Linked DNA regions of Drosophila melanogaster. Changing the gene in region 1 together with any one later gene gives a genetic interaction. Each region holds a gene or a part of one and is shown on either strand. Other genes may lie near its edges.

Evidence for each region. Genes that interact genetically often act in the same process or in processes that back each other up.
Region 2: of CkIalpha (region 1) and brat, changing one enhances a phenotype caused by changing the other (phenotypic enhancement), as found in Drosophila melanogaster (one study listed by BioGRID).

Annotation. Positions count from the first base shown.
Region 1 is NC_004354.4:12,651,143-12,659,323, forward strand, and holds CkIalpha (casein kinase ialpha), read left to right. Parts: upstream 1-2,657; 5' UTR 2,658-3,026; intron 3,027-3,256; exon of another isoform or gene 3,257-3,390; intron 3,391-3,557; exon of another isoform or gene 3,558-3,827; intron 3,828-4,028; 5' UTR 4,029-4,095; coding exon 4,096-4,174; intron 4,175-4,235; coding exon 4,236-5,010; intron 5,011-5,191; coding exon 5,192-5,351; 3' UTR 5,352-6,692; downstream 6,693-8,181. Other genes in the region: tomosyn, read left to right, coding at 1-84, 153-275, 337-456, 533-982, 1,099-1,207, 1,273-1,359, 1,427-1,522, 1,597-1,721 and 1 more. UniProt on the Drosophila melanogaster protein: Casein kinases are operationally defined by their preferential utilization of acidic proteins such as caseins as substrates. Can phosphorylate a large number of proteins. Negative regulator of wg signaling.
Region 2 is NT_033779.5:19,132,040-19,137,863, reverse strand, and holds the start of brat (brain tumor), read right to left. Parts: upstream 4,043-5,824; 5' UTR 3,588-4,042; intron 2,935-3,587; coding exon of another isoform or gene 2,884-2,934; exon of another isoform or gene 2,631-2,883; intron 1-2,630. Other genes in the region: Polr1D (RNA polymerase I and III subunit D), read left to right, coding at 2,884-2,934, 4,043-4,090, 4,513-4,812; DCTN6-p27 (dynactin 6, p27 subunit), read right to left, coding at 4,840-5,380, 5,448-5,464. UniProt on the Drosophila melanogaster protein: A NHL-domain family protein that functions as a translational repressor to inhibit cell proliferation.

The DNA.
Region 1 (8,181 bases):
CATCGTCAATGTCCAGCATTGATATGTCTTCCTCTGAATCTGTTACCTGTTTAGCTTTTATCGAGAGTTATGCAAAACGAAATGGTAAGACTGATCGGTGATTAGATTATATCTTAACATCTATACATATATTTAACATTGTTTTTACTTAGATATTTTGACACTTGTTCCTACTTTGTGGATTGGAACTAGTTTCGGTTCGATACTGACATTGTTCATCACCATGCCCGAGCGAGATGTGCGCAAATCTCAGCCAGTATTGATAACAATAAATGGTAAGTGATAAAGCCACGCACATAAATGAAAACCTTTTTAAATATCTTCTCCTTTTTTCAGGTGGCCCCGTGGTACGACTCAAAGGATCCATAACTTCCATGTCTTTTTTAGACTCATACGGTTCGATCATACCCTATACGTTTGAGACCTGGCGTGACGAGAAGAGGGACAACAAAGATCGTAAGCATCTCGACTTCATACCACATTGATCTGATGCCCCCGACTAATCCACATATATATCCAATATGATTTCAAGGCACACCAACAAAGAGCAGCAGCCGCACCAGTCCCACATTCACACCGACAACTGCCAATACATTATCAAACACTTCGGTCGCGGGTGGTGCGTCCGCAGGCGGAGGAGCTGGCGGCGGTGGTGGTGCCGGCGGTGGTGCGGCCAGCGGTGGCGCAGCCGCAGGAGGGCCAGCCGGCGGTGGTGCCGGAGCAGGATCGGCGGCTGGAGCGGCCGGCGGCGTTGGAAGCGGTGTAACCAGCGGCGGGGGGATGAGCAGCAGCAGCGCCAGCAGCAGCGGCATCAGCGGAAGTGTGAGCACCGGCCTGGAAACTCTCACCGATCGACAATACATCGTTATCGCAAGCGAGAAGCAAACAAAAGTCTTCGATGTCGCCAACCAGTGCTGCATCAACCGCATACAATTATCGGAAATGGATTTTGCAGTCAAGGCAGAAACTATCACGATGAAAGGTGACTTTCACTTTGTTTTATTTTCATTTTATTAGTGGAGCAAGAAAGTCATAATTTGTTGTAATTAGTGCAATTGATTGTAATTAATACATATATCAACGTTCCCTTCATTCCAGATGGCTCTTGCTTAGCAACCTATCTTTCGAATGGCCATCTAATGGTACATAGTCTTCCTAGTCTAAAACTGTTATTGGATACTGATTTCTTACCACTTATGGAACTAAGGTGAGCCGTACACTTATAAGGTACTCTTAGCATTTTTACAACTAATGGTTCTATCGTCTATTTAGTTTTCAAACAAAATGTAAACAGGGAATTGTGGATCCAATGCTTTCGATATGGGGTCAACAGATCATTGTTCATGAAGATACAACTCAGTAAGTCCTAAGCTAAAATATATATTTTTATTTCCAACTTTTACTAATCTTGTTCCATTATCCACAGAATATCAAAAATATTTTGCTTTAGTCATAAAGGTCATGGATTGTACATGGCATCGCCCACCGAAATTCAAAAATTCACGATATCATCGGAATTTTGGTAAACCAAAACAAACATAATTCATTGTACTTTAAACATTGCATATTAATTTGTAATTCTTTCCCTTATTCAAGTCAATTTATTTTGGAGATGATGGGTGAACTATATACGGTACACGAAATGCCCGAACAGCCGAAGGAGGGTTTCTTCAAGGGTCTATTTGGTGGTGGCGCCAAACTCCTGGATCGCGAGGAGCTATGTGAGTAGATCTGCATCAGATCTGCATGTCGTTACCATCGATCATTTCAATAATCCGTACAATTCCTATCCCTATCCTTGCAGTTGGCGAGCAGAGCGGGAAACCGAATCGATCGGTGGCACGGCACATACCCGGCCCCAATTTGGAGCAGCTCGGCCAGAGGGCTTCCACCGCCGCATCGGAGATCAGCCGGGCGCACCAGCTGGCCATGGAGCGCGGCGAGAAGCTAAATTTGCTGGAGGAGCGCGCCGAGCGCATGGCCAACACTGCTCAAGATTTCAGCGGCACTGCGCATCAATTAATGCTTAAATATAAAGACAAGAAGTGGTATCAGTTGTAAAATATCTATTTTAGGAGCCAATTCTACCACAGTTATTGTAATATTGCTTTTATAACACTTTCTACTACATTACGAGTAAAGTACACTTATTTAATTTCTGTTTTCAAGTCGTCACGTTATTTACAAAAACCGAAAACCAACAAAAAAAAACAACAAAAACCGAAAATTCACAAAAACAAAAAAACTGAAAGAGAAAACCCAACCAAAAAAAAACTGTTTTTAATAAAAATATATAGACCAAAAAACAGGCACTGTGGAGTCTTAATGTATTCATGAATATTGTGGGTTATTAAAGTATTTTTAATTTGATTTCTTTGTTTCACATGTTTTATACGCTCGAACAAAGTGGGTGCTGCTTTCAATCGTTCTTTATAGTAACATCAACTCTGAGTAGACTTTAGTATCAGATTCGAACATAACAGCAGCACACGAGTGAAAAGTGTTTTCTGTTCCCCATTTGAATTATCCGCGCAGTGTTGTGTCAGTGCTGAAAATCGCCGCAGAGTCGCGAAGTCAATTTCAATCCGATAGTTTAGCAGTGTGCCACGGTGAAGTATCGTTTCTCGTTCATACCTATCTGAGCGTATCGTTCCACGATATCAGGTGGCAGTGTTTGGTTGAACCTATCGGGCCCTATCGATATAAGCAAAAGCATTTTTGCTGGATCTACCATTTTATTTTAGTTAATAAAATACATATATTTCCTCTCTTTTTGTTCCGTTTGTGCGCGTACAAAACTAGCTGCGAACTCGTGCAATATTTCATAAACTGAATGGGAAAACAACGATAACGACGAAAGAAAACGAAAACGGATCTGCGACGAAATTTTCCCCGTTCCGTTTTTTTTTCTCCACCAGCAGCAGAAGCAGCAGAGCAAAAGCAGCGAATATATTTGTAAAAGAGAGCCCCAACCTTGAGAAAAAACAACCAGCAGGGCAATAATTAGTTGAATTTATCGTCTGCTGGTAAGAAATGAACCCAAATGTGAACTTAGACCGTTTGATTTCCGCGAGGATCCATCATTTTTTCACCCATTTCGTCCAGTTTCAAATGCGTGCTAAATATGCTAACGTGTGTGTGTGTGTGATGGGTCTTCGATGGTGTGCGTGTCTCGCTGTGCGCTTCAATGTGTTGGTCTGCTTCTCACACTCTGCGTTCGTGTGTGTGTGTATATGTGTGCCTTCGAAATTTTCTTTTGTGTAAAACATTTGTAAGGTGCAACTGCAGCTGTGTGCGTGTGTGTGTATCGCTTTGACTGCCGTTGTTGTTTTTGTTGTTGTGCGTCATAGCAATGAGTGTGTGTGTGTGTGTAATATGCATTCCAACGGGGTAAGAAAGAAGAGGAAGCAGTACCTGTCGCCAATAAATATCGTATATCGATGTCTGTCTGTGTTTATTTAGAATTTCCCTTCAGCCCGCCCCCGTGCAAAAGGAAATATTGCTCCTCCTTCACCTCCATCACCTCAAGTAGGGATCAAGTGTAATCGATAATGCAGACATATCGATTGGTCCGTTGAGAAACATCAGAAAAACACGTAAAGTGCAAGCTGGAAAAGAAAAGCAAAACAAATTCCGGAGAGCAGAAAGAGAGGTGGAAAAGAAAGTGTTGAGAAAGGGATGACAGCAAAAAGAGGCTCTGGTGATATTAGTTAAATGTCAGCTGGTCTGTAAATCGTCGCGACATTTTGTGTTGGGGCAACTATTCAAAACTTTCCCAAAAACACTGTGAAACAACTCTAGAGAAGATACCACTCATTTTTCTTAAGGTTAAAATATAAAACAGTACACGATTACATTTTCTGGGATCCGCAAAACTGTTCGTTTTGTAATAGGTCCCTTTGTAGTATTAGAGTAATATAGTTGTTTAGATGAAGGGTGTTCAAGTGTCAGAATGATAATTAGTAACTCCTAGCGTTTAGTTCTTAACTTAATATATACAAAACATATAATGTTCCCAACCCATGCAGTTTTTCAAGTGAACGCGTCCAACTGTTTTTGAAGCGAAGCGCTTAGGCGGAGGAGCAGCTAGCCAGGATGGACAAGATGCGGATATTGAAGGAAAGTCGCCCCGAGATAATCGTCGGTGGCAAATATCGGGTGATCAGGAAGATTGGTAATTCAGCCGTGCGATTTTATCCCCACAATATTCTCTAATCTCTGAAAATTATTCACAGGAAGCGGATCGTTTGGCGACATTTACCTGGGCATGAGCATCCAGAGCGGCGAAGAAGTGGCCATCAAGATGGAGAGCGCCCACGCCCGCCATCCGCAGCTGTTGTACGAGGCCAAGCTGTACCGCATTCTGAGCGGCGGCGTTGGATTCCCTCGTATACGTCACCATGGCAAGGAAAAGAACTTCAACACCCTGGTCATGGACCTGCTGGGACCCTCGCTGGAGGATCTGTTCAATTTCTGTACGCGCCATTTCACAATCAAAACGGTTCTGATGCTCGTCGACCAGATGATCGGACGCTTGGAGTACATCCATCTCAAGTGCTTCATCCATCGCGACATCAAGCCGGATAACTTCCTAATGGGCATTGGTCGGCACTGCAATAAGCTGTTCCTGATCGATTTCGGTCTGGCCAAGAAGTTCCGCGATCCGCACACGCGCCATCACATCGTTTACCGCGAGGACAAGAACCTCACCGGCACTGCCCGCTATGCCTCGATCAATGCCCATCTGGGCATCGAGCAGTCGCGGCGTGACGACATGGAATCGCTTGGATACGTGATGATGTACTTCAATCGCGGCGTACTGCCATGGCAAGGCATGAAGGCCAACACCAAGCAGCAGAAATACGAGAAGATCTCCGAAAAGAAGATGTCCACGCCCATCGAGGTCCTCTGCAAGGGCTCGCCGGCCGAGTTCTCCATGTATCTGAACTATTGTCGTAGCCTGCGCTTCGAGGAGCAGCCAGATTACATGTACCTACGTCAATTGTTCCGGTGAGTACGATTAAATCATATATTGCATACGAATCTTAAGATTACACCCGATTGTTTTTGTGATAATGTTTGTGGTGATAATCATTGTGGAGGCTGTATTCGATATGTGTTTAGGTCATAGTTTTCTTGTTTTTTTTTTTTAATTCGAAATGATGTAACCCCAACTTTCTCTTTAATACAGCATACTGTTCAGAACGCTGAACCATCAGTATGACTACATCTACGACTGGACAATGCTGAAGCAGAAGACCCATCAGGGTCAACCCAATCCAGCTATACTCTTGGAGCAATTGGACAAGGACAAGGAGAAGCAGAACGGCAAGCCCCTGATCGCGGACTAAGAGCTGCAGCGCATTCAGACGAATGGGGGGAGTGCATCAGAGAAGGAGAACGTGGATGCGTGGATGTAAATGACGTTGATGTGGGCGAAAGGCCCGGCAAGGAGCGGAGCAAATATGAAACAGACGCAACCGTAAAATTGAGTAACACCAGCGGTCGTCCGAATGTTTCTTAATATTAATTTAAATTCAATACTAAACAAATAAGGAACCACAAACAAGCAAGCAACGGCATCATCAGCAGGGCATATAAAATGATACCCCAGCAAATGTGATTCACGAGTGAATCACTGCGATCGATAATAACATAAACCGAAATTATTGCAAATCAATACGATTTAAACTAATTTGCAATCCATACACAAATCAACATACTTGCATAACACACCCACACACACACATACATACACACACTCACCCACTCTCATCCACCCACTCAAAAAGCAAACATCATTGCCCAAAAGGGGGAGAAAAAAGAAAAGAAGAGAGAAGAAGAAAAGAAGAGGAAAGAAATCAACAACACTTAGCCTAATAAATTACAAGAAATAATATTGGTAGAGTTGGAGGAACAAAATGAAGTAATGCTGAGGAAACTAAACCTATATATATATGTATATGTATATATGTAAGCGAATAAACACAACACCATATATGTATGCATATACCCATTTGATTCACGTCAAATCGAATCCAATGCTTAATTATGAATCGAGCGAAACAAAACTCAATAACTAATTAAAATGGAATAAATAAGAAACAAAACAGCAACAAGCAAACAACAACACAAAAAAACAACAAACAAATAAGAATAAACAATAAAAAAAAATTAATAAAACACACCGAGAAAAGCAAACAAAAAAAATATAGTGGAGGATGCGGAGGAGAAACAACCAAGCAAAGCCAACTGAGATGGGGGAAAATATAAAATAAAAGCAGCAACAAGAGTAAAACAAGCAAATAATAATTATAATGAAGAAAGAAAAAGAAGAAAACAGACCGCAAAACTGCAAAGTAATTTTGCATAGTACGCCGTAATAATTATAAATATAACTTATATTTAATTTTTTGAATTACATCAATAAATATGTTGAAATTAAATTTCGACTCGGCGCTGTTCACATCTGCATTAGATAGAGATGGGGGCATACGAAAGGGAAAGAAGTGCATTCAAATATATTTATTGTTGTAATATACGTCATTGTTTATTAGCGATTAGCTCTATTGGTTAATAATCTTTTTTAAAATTGTAGCATGTAATTAGTTTTTTTATTATACTATATTAAATTTACATAAAAATTGTATATTCATATATATATATATATGCATACGTTTTATTTGAGCCCCAACATTTAATTTCCCCCATAAGTGCTTTGTATCTAAAGTTGTATTCGTTTCAGCTGAAATTAAAATTTAGTTGAAATTAAAGATGCTTTTATATATTTAAATTAATCACAAAAAAATGCCTGTGTTTTTCAGATCTTGCGTTCAGTCATTAATAATGCATTTTAGTTATGAAAACTTGAACGTGACATAAAAACATTTCATTGTCACATTGGTTTATGGTTTATGGTTTATGGTTTATGGTTTGTTTATTTAAATTTGTACTGCTACTATTGATATCATCTAGTAGATTGCATAGCTGGTAGTTAGCAAAATATTCTGAAGAGATGAGAAAAAAAACGTAGAATCTTTGTAGAGAAAGTTGTCAATATTTTAAATTACGTTTATATTTAATGGAATGGTTATCTGCGATACTGTAATGGATGGTACAGGGGGGCGCAGCGTTAATCATCTTTCTTTAAAGTATTTTCCATAATGCCTCCAAAAATCGATTCGTAATGTTTTTTCACTTTCAGGTGGTCTTTCTTAAGATCCAAAACGAATTTAGCAGCTGACGTCTTTTGCAACCCGACTGTGAAATACATTTATTTATTAGACCCTCTTAATTTCTTTGTTTATTCGTCATTGTTGACCAATGACACGTACGCGGTCCGTCTGTGTGTGAGAATGTGCTTTTTATTATTTATTAACTTTATGGGATGTCCACTGCACTACTGACCCATTCCAATCAGCACCCCGTTTGCAAGCAGAAGGCGCTGATTGGAAAACACCAATTGCAGTGCAATTGCTGATAAGAACATTTAAAGTTCTGATTGAATAGTAAAAGAGCAAAAACGAAGCGCAACATTTATCAATTCGTCTCTTTAGTTTGACAAGAGATCTTAAAACATTTGCTATTTATAATTTTACATTTATAAATAACTTATTGCAGGATAACTCCTGAGAACATTGTCATTATTTTATCATTACATTCCTAAAAAGCTAACATGGGGAAAAATACAAATGAAATTTAAACTATGGCGCTTGTTTTGATACTGCGATTTAGATGGCTGCCACATAGTTTGACTTTGCCACCCGTGGAGCTGAAGTGACTGGAAATATATCTTTAACAACTTAAAGTTGCCTAACTAGTGCAATTATGCGCTTCAATAATGTTTTAAAAATAGTAGAAATTGGGACAGCGCTGCCAATAACTTCGAAAATTTAAAGGCAATCCAGTGGCACCACTGGCAAGCGAGTAGGTACAGGTGGCACCTCTACCAGTCGAGTTTGCACAGGTGGCACCACTAGCAAGCGAGTTGGCTCGATTAATGTTACTTGATTTACTATCGACTATGCTACTTGATTTAAAGGTATTATATGAAAAAACTTTCATTTCAAGTTTGAAGCATTTTTTCTTTTAGCTAGGTAAAAACTAACCGACTACAGAATAACCATTTACATATCTTAGACTCAAACGCTCTGACAAAAGAGCGCCTAACGGGAGGCCAAA
Region 2 (5,824 bases), on another chromosome or scaffold:
GCGAAAAGGGAAAAAGTGAAACGAAAATGAAACGAAACTAGGCACAGGACATCCACACACACACACACACACACACGGGGGATGCGGTGCGAGTCCTTTGAGGAACCGAGCAGCAACCACCACCACCGAAACAACATCAACAACATCAACTTGAACTCCCCATCCGCAATATGGGCGATGGCAACGGCAACAGACGGCATCGGACACATTTTACGGCTGCCCTACGGCGTATTATGCAAATCCCTCCAAGCGTATTGTGAAAAAAAAAATGCTCAAATAATGCACGAATAAAACATGCATTTCAATTGCGAAAACCACAAGGATGTCTGGGTGGCTTACAGCGCCATTTCCCTTTCAATTCACCTGAAACTAAAGGCCGGAAATCAAGAGCCACTCTCTTTTCGAATTTTGCTGGCTTAAATGTTCCCGGAAGCAGCGGATGTCGAGATTTAGGTAACTTAGTTGAAGGATTCGCTATTCTAAGCCAACATCATAGACTTTAGGCTTATAATCCATGTAGCTTTAATAATCAATAATTAGAACTATTTTTCACACAATATGTGGAATATACAATACATATGTACATACATGTATCATGTATATGTACATACATATGACAACTAAATGATCTACGGTTTGTTATTATATCCTCCTAAAATATGGCTAAATTTCGATACCCGACACAACGAAGACCAAAAACAAGGAAACCCGAACAAAGGCGAAACAAGAGAAAAATGCATGTGAGGTTTTTGTTTGTTTTATGTCTCTCTGCCGGCGTCGCTGCTGCTGCGTCTGGGCAGCGATCACGCACACATAGAGAAGCACACAGAAGAAGGAGGGAGAGAGGAGGGGACTCAGCGCAGCTTCCTTTTGACTGGCTCTTCTTACAGAGGAAAAAATGATGTGGCTGTAAGTATCACTTGTTCCTATAGATCTTAAATGTGCAACCAAGTGATTGTGTGTTATTTAGTATTGGCATTGTTGTAAAATTTATTACATCACAAATTATCAAATAAATTTATTAATGCACTGATTAACAGTAATGGTACTAAACTCGAACCTATTAATCAAATATTGCACTTTTCGGCTTAAAAATTTGTCCTGTTGTGTAGTTACTTTACTTGGTTTTTATGTTGATTTTGGGAATTCTAAAAATGCTTGCAGCTTCATCCTTCTGCGTCTCTGTCTCCTTCTCTTCTCCTCGATTCCCCCCACCCCCTATTCGTGGCCCGCATCGAATGCAGCAGATGACAGGTTTTCGCTCTCCTCCGCCCCCTGCTTTGCTGTGCTCTCCGGCTTTATGGCGCTCCCCACCTCCTTCGTGACTCGCTGCACAGGATGTTGGAATATCACGTCGTCGTGTCCGTGTTCCCGTCTGTTCCTTGTTCTCGTGCTCTTCGTCTTCGTCTTGTGCCATTGCCACTTCACCTTTTTTGTCTGCATTCGAGCTAAAGGGGCTCCCCTTTAGCCCCTTCTTCACCTCAGCTACTCCTTCCACTTCCTTTCGCTCCAAAACTGTCTGTGTATTTTATTTTATTTCGTTTCGTTTGGCTTTCGATGTCTGCAGCATCCTTGGAACTTTCTGGCACAGTGGGCCCAACAAAAATATTGCATGCACCATTGATAAATATAGATAAATGATCGAAAGAACACACCATTGCTATGTTTACTGACAGAATTATTTTCAAAAACTCGTTAAGCATTTATTAATTTACCAATAGAATCGGTAAAAACCTTAGTACCATTATACATAGAATTTTTGTTTTAAAATTCAATTTATAACCTGTCCTTGTCAAGTCAGCACACTGTGTCTACATCGTGGACAGGTATTTTGTACCTCAAGTGGATTATTTGCAATATTCATGGCACAAGGTGGAATATACACCACCCTTGGGAGGACTTAAAATTTCGGGCTCCCCCTCTTTTATAATTTATTTTCACGTGCGCAGCTATACACAAAAAATACTTTTGTATTTTGAATTAATATAATTTTAAAATGGTCTACCGTACTGCATCCTTTTTCTATGCGTTTATTACTTTCTACTAGTTTTCGTTTATTATACGTTGAAAAGATATATTACACACGAGGTGGTGAATTGTTTACGAATCAGCTTCGCGAGTAAATGCTAGGGAAGTTATTTTCTCTATGTACAGGCCATAGATCGCTGTTGCTATGTACATATGTATGTATGAATGTATATATTAGGTTGTGTTTACATACATATTTACATGGGCCCTCTGGATCGTATTCCCAGAACCATTTCGCACTTCTCTTTTTCGTATTCTCCCTTTTTGCCACGATCGTGACGGTTATATGCAGTTCCTTTGTTGTAACCACTACAAAGCCAAAATAATTGCAAACTCAAAAGAAACCCATAAAAGCAAGAATAGAGTTAGCCCAGGAGAGAGAGCAGCCACTTTTTTCGGCCAGGAGAGAGCAGCTGCCTCGCTCTCACTCACACACGAGCCACAAAAACGCCGGCTCTCAATACATACATATATACATACTTAAACTGCAGGCCATGTAAAAACAAAAACAACAAGGCAAAAGGGCGCCCAGCATAATGGGGGAAACGAAATGGAAGAGGAACGCAGCCTAGACTAAATTGCAACAACTGCAAATTGGGGGGAACGCATGGCGCCAAACGAAACGTGAGACAGACTCGCGCGCACTGCCATACATACACGAAAAGTGATTATTACAACACAAGCGCTGCGGCGCGTGGGCGCGAGGAGGGGGAACGCATGAGATAACGGAACATGCTGCCGCATTAGTCACCACCAAAGCACAACAGATGTGTGTACATGTGTGTGTGTCAGCTACCACCGAACAAATGAGTGCAAAGGAGTTAGCAGGATGCCGAGAAGGAAGCGGAGAGAGGAATGGCAAGGGGCAGGGGAGAAGAGCATAGCAACCAGTGGAAACAAAATACAGTGAGTATTGGCTAAGAGCTATTGGGTATCTTTGCAATAAAGTGTTGCATACCCTAGGGAGAAAAATATTTATAAAAATCTTATTGGATTAAAAAACCATACATATTAACGAAATTAAATAAAAAATATTTTTAAAATTTTACTGGAAACTACGTAAGATCATATTTGATTGTATTCAACCTTTTGGTTATATGCATATAAATCGTAAAGTACATGTTAAGAAACCGAATACTGTTATTCTCGTAATTGGTAATTGAAGATGCAGACTGCGAACGTGAATGCAAAGTGCCAATTAGGAAATTTAACAATTTGGAAATAAAAGTCTACATTATTGGCAATAACTAACGAAAAGCAGAACAGGAGGCACAGTAACGAACAAGATAAAGCTTTAGTTGAGCCTCTGAACTGGTATTTTTTAGCCATCACTTCCGCCTTCGCGGGCAACAGCGTCGACGGCACGGCGGCAGAGGCAGCTGCCTGTTTGCAGCTGTGTGCGTGCACAAAAATAAAAGGGCGCATGAATTTGCATAATTTTCGGAACCAGATGGGGGGCGTGGCCGTCAACAAAATTGAAATGACAACTCGAGCTTTTCAATACCGCTTATTTATGTATGCGATGTTATTAATAAGCACATGGTGGGCATTAAACAAACCTGTATTGCAGTCAATTCCTGATGGAAACGGCGAAAAAGCATGTAAAATGAATTGCCGATTCGTCGTTGTATGCGTTTTTCCCGAGTGTCGGTGTTTTTGGAGCAACTTCACGTTGAATGCATTGCGCAAATAATTATGTTTGCCGTTGCAGTTTTTTTGTTTTTGTTTTCTTCGCTCCGCTTCGCCTCTCTGCTTCTTTCCTTGCCGCCTTTTCTGCTGATGCTTTCAAACAAACCAACACTCACACACGTATGCAGAAGGCGGCTTGCAATTATGCTAATGCGGCTGTTTGCGACACTTTTTCTTCTTTTTTTTGGCCGACACCGCACAAAACTGATTTCGCAGTTGGCCCAATAAAATTGGCCACAGAACAAAGCGAATTAAGAAGCAACACACACAATTCAATGCTCTGTCTGAAAACCGCGTCCGTGTCAGAACGCGTCAAGAACTGGAGCTGGTGGAGACATCGGCGCGCTATCGATACATCGATGACGTTACCACGGTATTTATGCATTTACTTAGAAGTAACTCATTTGATTTTCAAGAATTAAAGTCAATGTTGGTATGACACTTGGCACAAGCAAACAGTAGGAATGTTTCAGAAGACATACTCTTTTATACATACACAACTTAAATTTAACAGTTTTTTCGGGAAGATATGGCTAAGTTTTACTTAAATTCAAAATGGGATAGGCATCTCTAGTTTTTAGCTACATTGCATTCCAATTGGAATAAGCCGTCCTTAGCTACTTAAATCGATATGTTTCGATGACTCTAACATCGATTGCCGAGGCATGTGCCCTGCACGTTTTTTGTAAACAAACGAACGAGTATTTGAACAAACTGAAAATGGGAGCATTGGCAGAGGTAGACAATGCATTAAATATGCAATGTGAGTAATTAATTCTTAAATACTTTCCCCAGCTGGCTGGTGATGAGAAAAACGGCGAAGGATCTCGTACTTTTGTGTTCACCAACGAGGGCCACACGCTGGGAAATGCGCTGAAAACGATCATAGCCCGCTACCCGGAGGTGGATTTCTGTGGCTACACGATTCCGCATCCCACGGAGCAGAAGCTGCACTTCCGCATTCAATCCCGTCGAGACAGAGCCATAGATATACTTAAACGGGGACTGGAGGATCTGGAGGGTCTGTGTGATCATACAATCGTTACGTTCGAAAAGGAGATGGCCGAGTTTAATGCAATGAAAGTGGAAAATTAGATATATATGTATAAAGAATACTTAAAACTAAACCACGCTGCGCGCCTTCTTGGGATCGTAGTTGGGCTTGCGTAGATGATGATAGTTTGGCAGGACCTTGCGCAGGAAGTCGATCTGCAGGGTCTGCGATCCCTGCTTGTCGATGGCCTCGCGCTGCAGGCCCTGCTCTCCATAAACAATCGTGTTTTCGGGCAGGCGTTGACTACCATGGATCTTTATTCCAGCTCCCACCACACAACCGCTGGAAACAGTGACACCGGGGCCCACATAGCACTTGCTCTCGAAGACGTTCTTATCGCCAATCTTGGCCGCTTCCACTTGGCAGCCGACTTCAAAGACATTGTGAGTGCCAATGCTCAGGATATTGTTGACATCCCAAACGGCGCCCGGCTCCAAGCGGTGAGCTACGGTGGCATATTCCTCTATGATGCAATTCTCCCCAATTATTATGGGACCTGCGTCGGCGATAACGGTGGCACTCGGATGAACCACACAGCCCGACGAGAAGGTGATGTCACCGCGCAGGCTGCTCTCCTCGCAGACCACCGCCTTGGGTAGGATTTTGATTCTGTTGAGTGGCAATAGTATAGCTGCATTTCGTAAATTAGTTTTGCAAGTACTTATGCTGCAATCACCTGTTTTCCGAGGGCATTTTCTGTTTTCTTAAATTGTTTACGTTTTCTCACGAAGGTGAGAAGGAATTTATATTTATCGATAATAAATGAGGGCTTGCAAATGAGGCGATATATTATAGCCAGATTTAGTTACTTTAAAATATCGGAAAGGTAAAAATAATGATTAAAGACCTTTGCATAAAAAAACCAGATATAACAATAATGACGTCGAACTTTATTGCTCAAAAACCAAAATAATGTTGAATACTCATTTATAAACAATACATACTGATTCCCGTTCATAGGGATAGTTGTTTTTATAAAACCCTTTTATGCAGAGAAATATTTTTTAAGAAATAAACACAATTATTTATAATGTAATAGAAGATTTCCCGTCC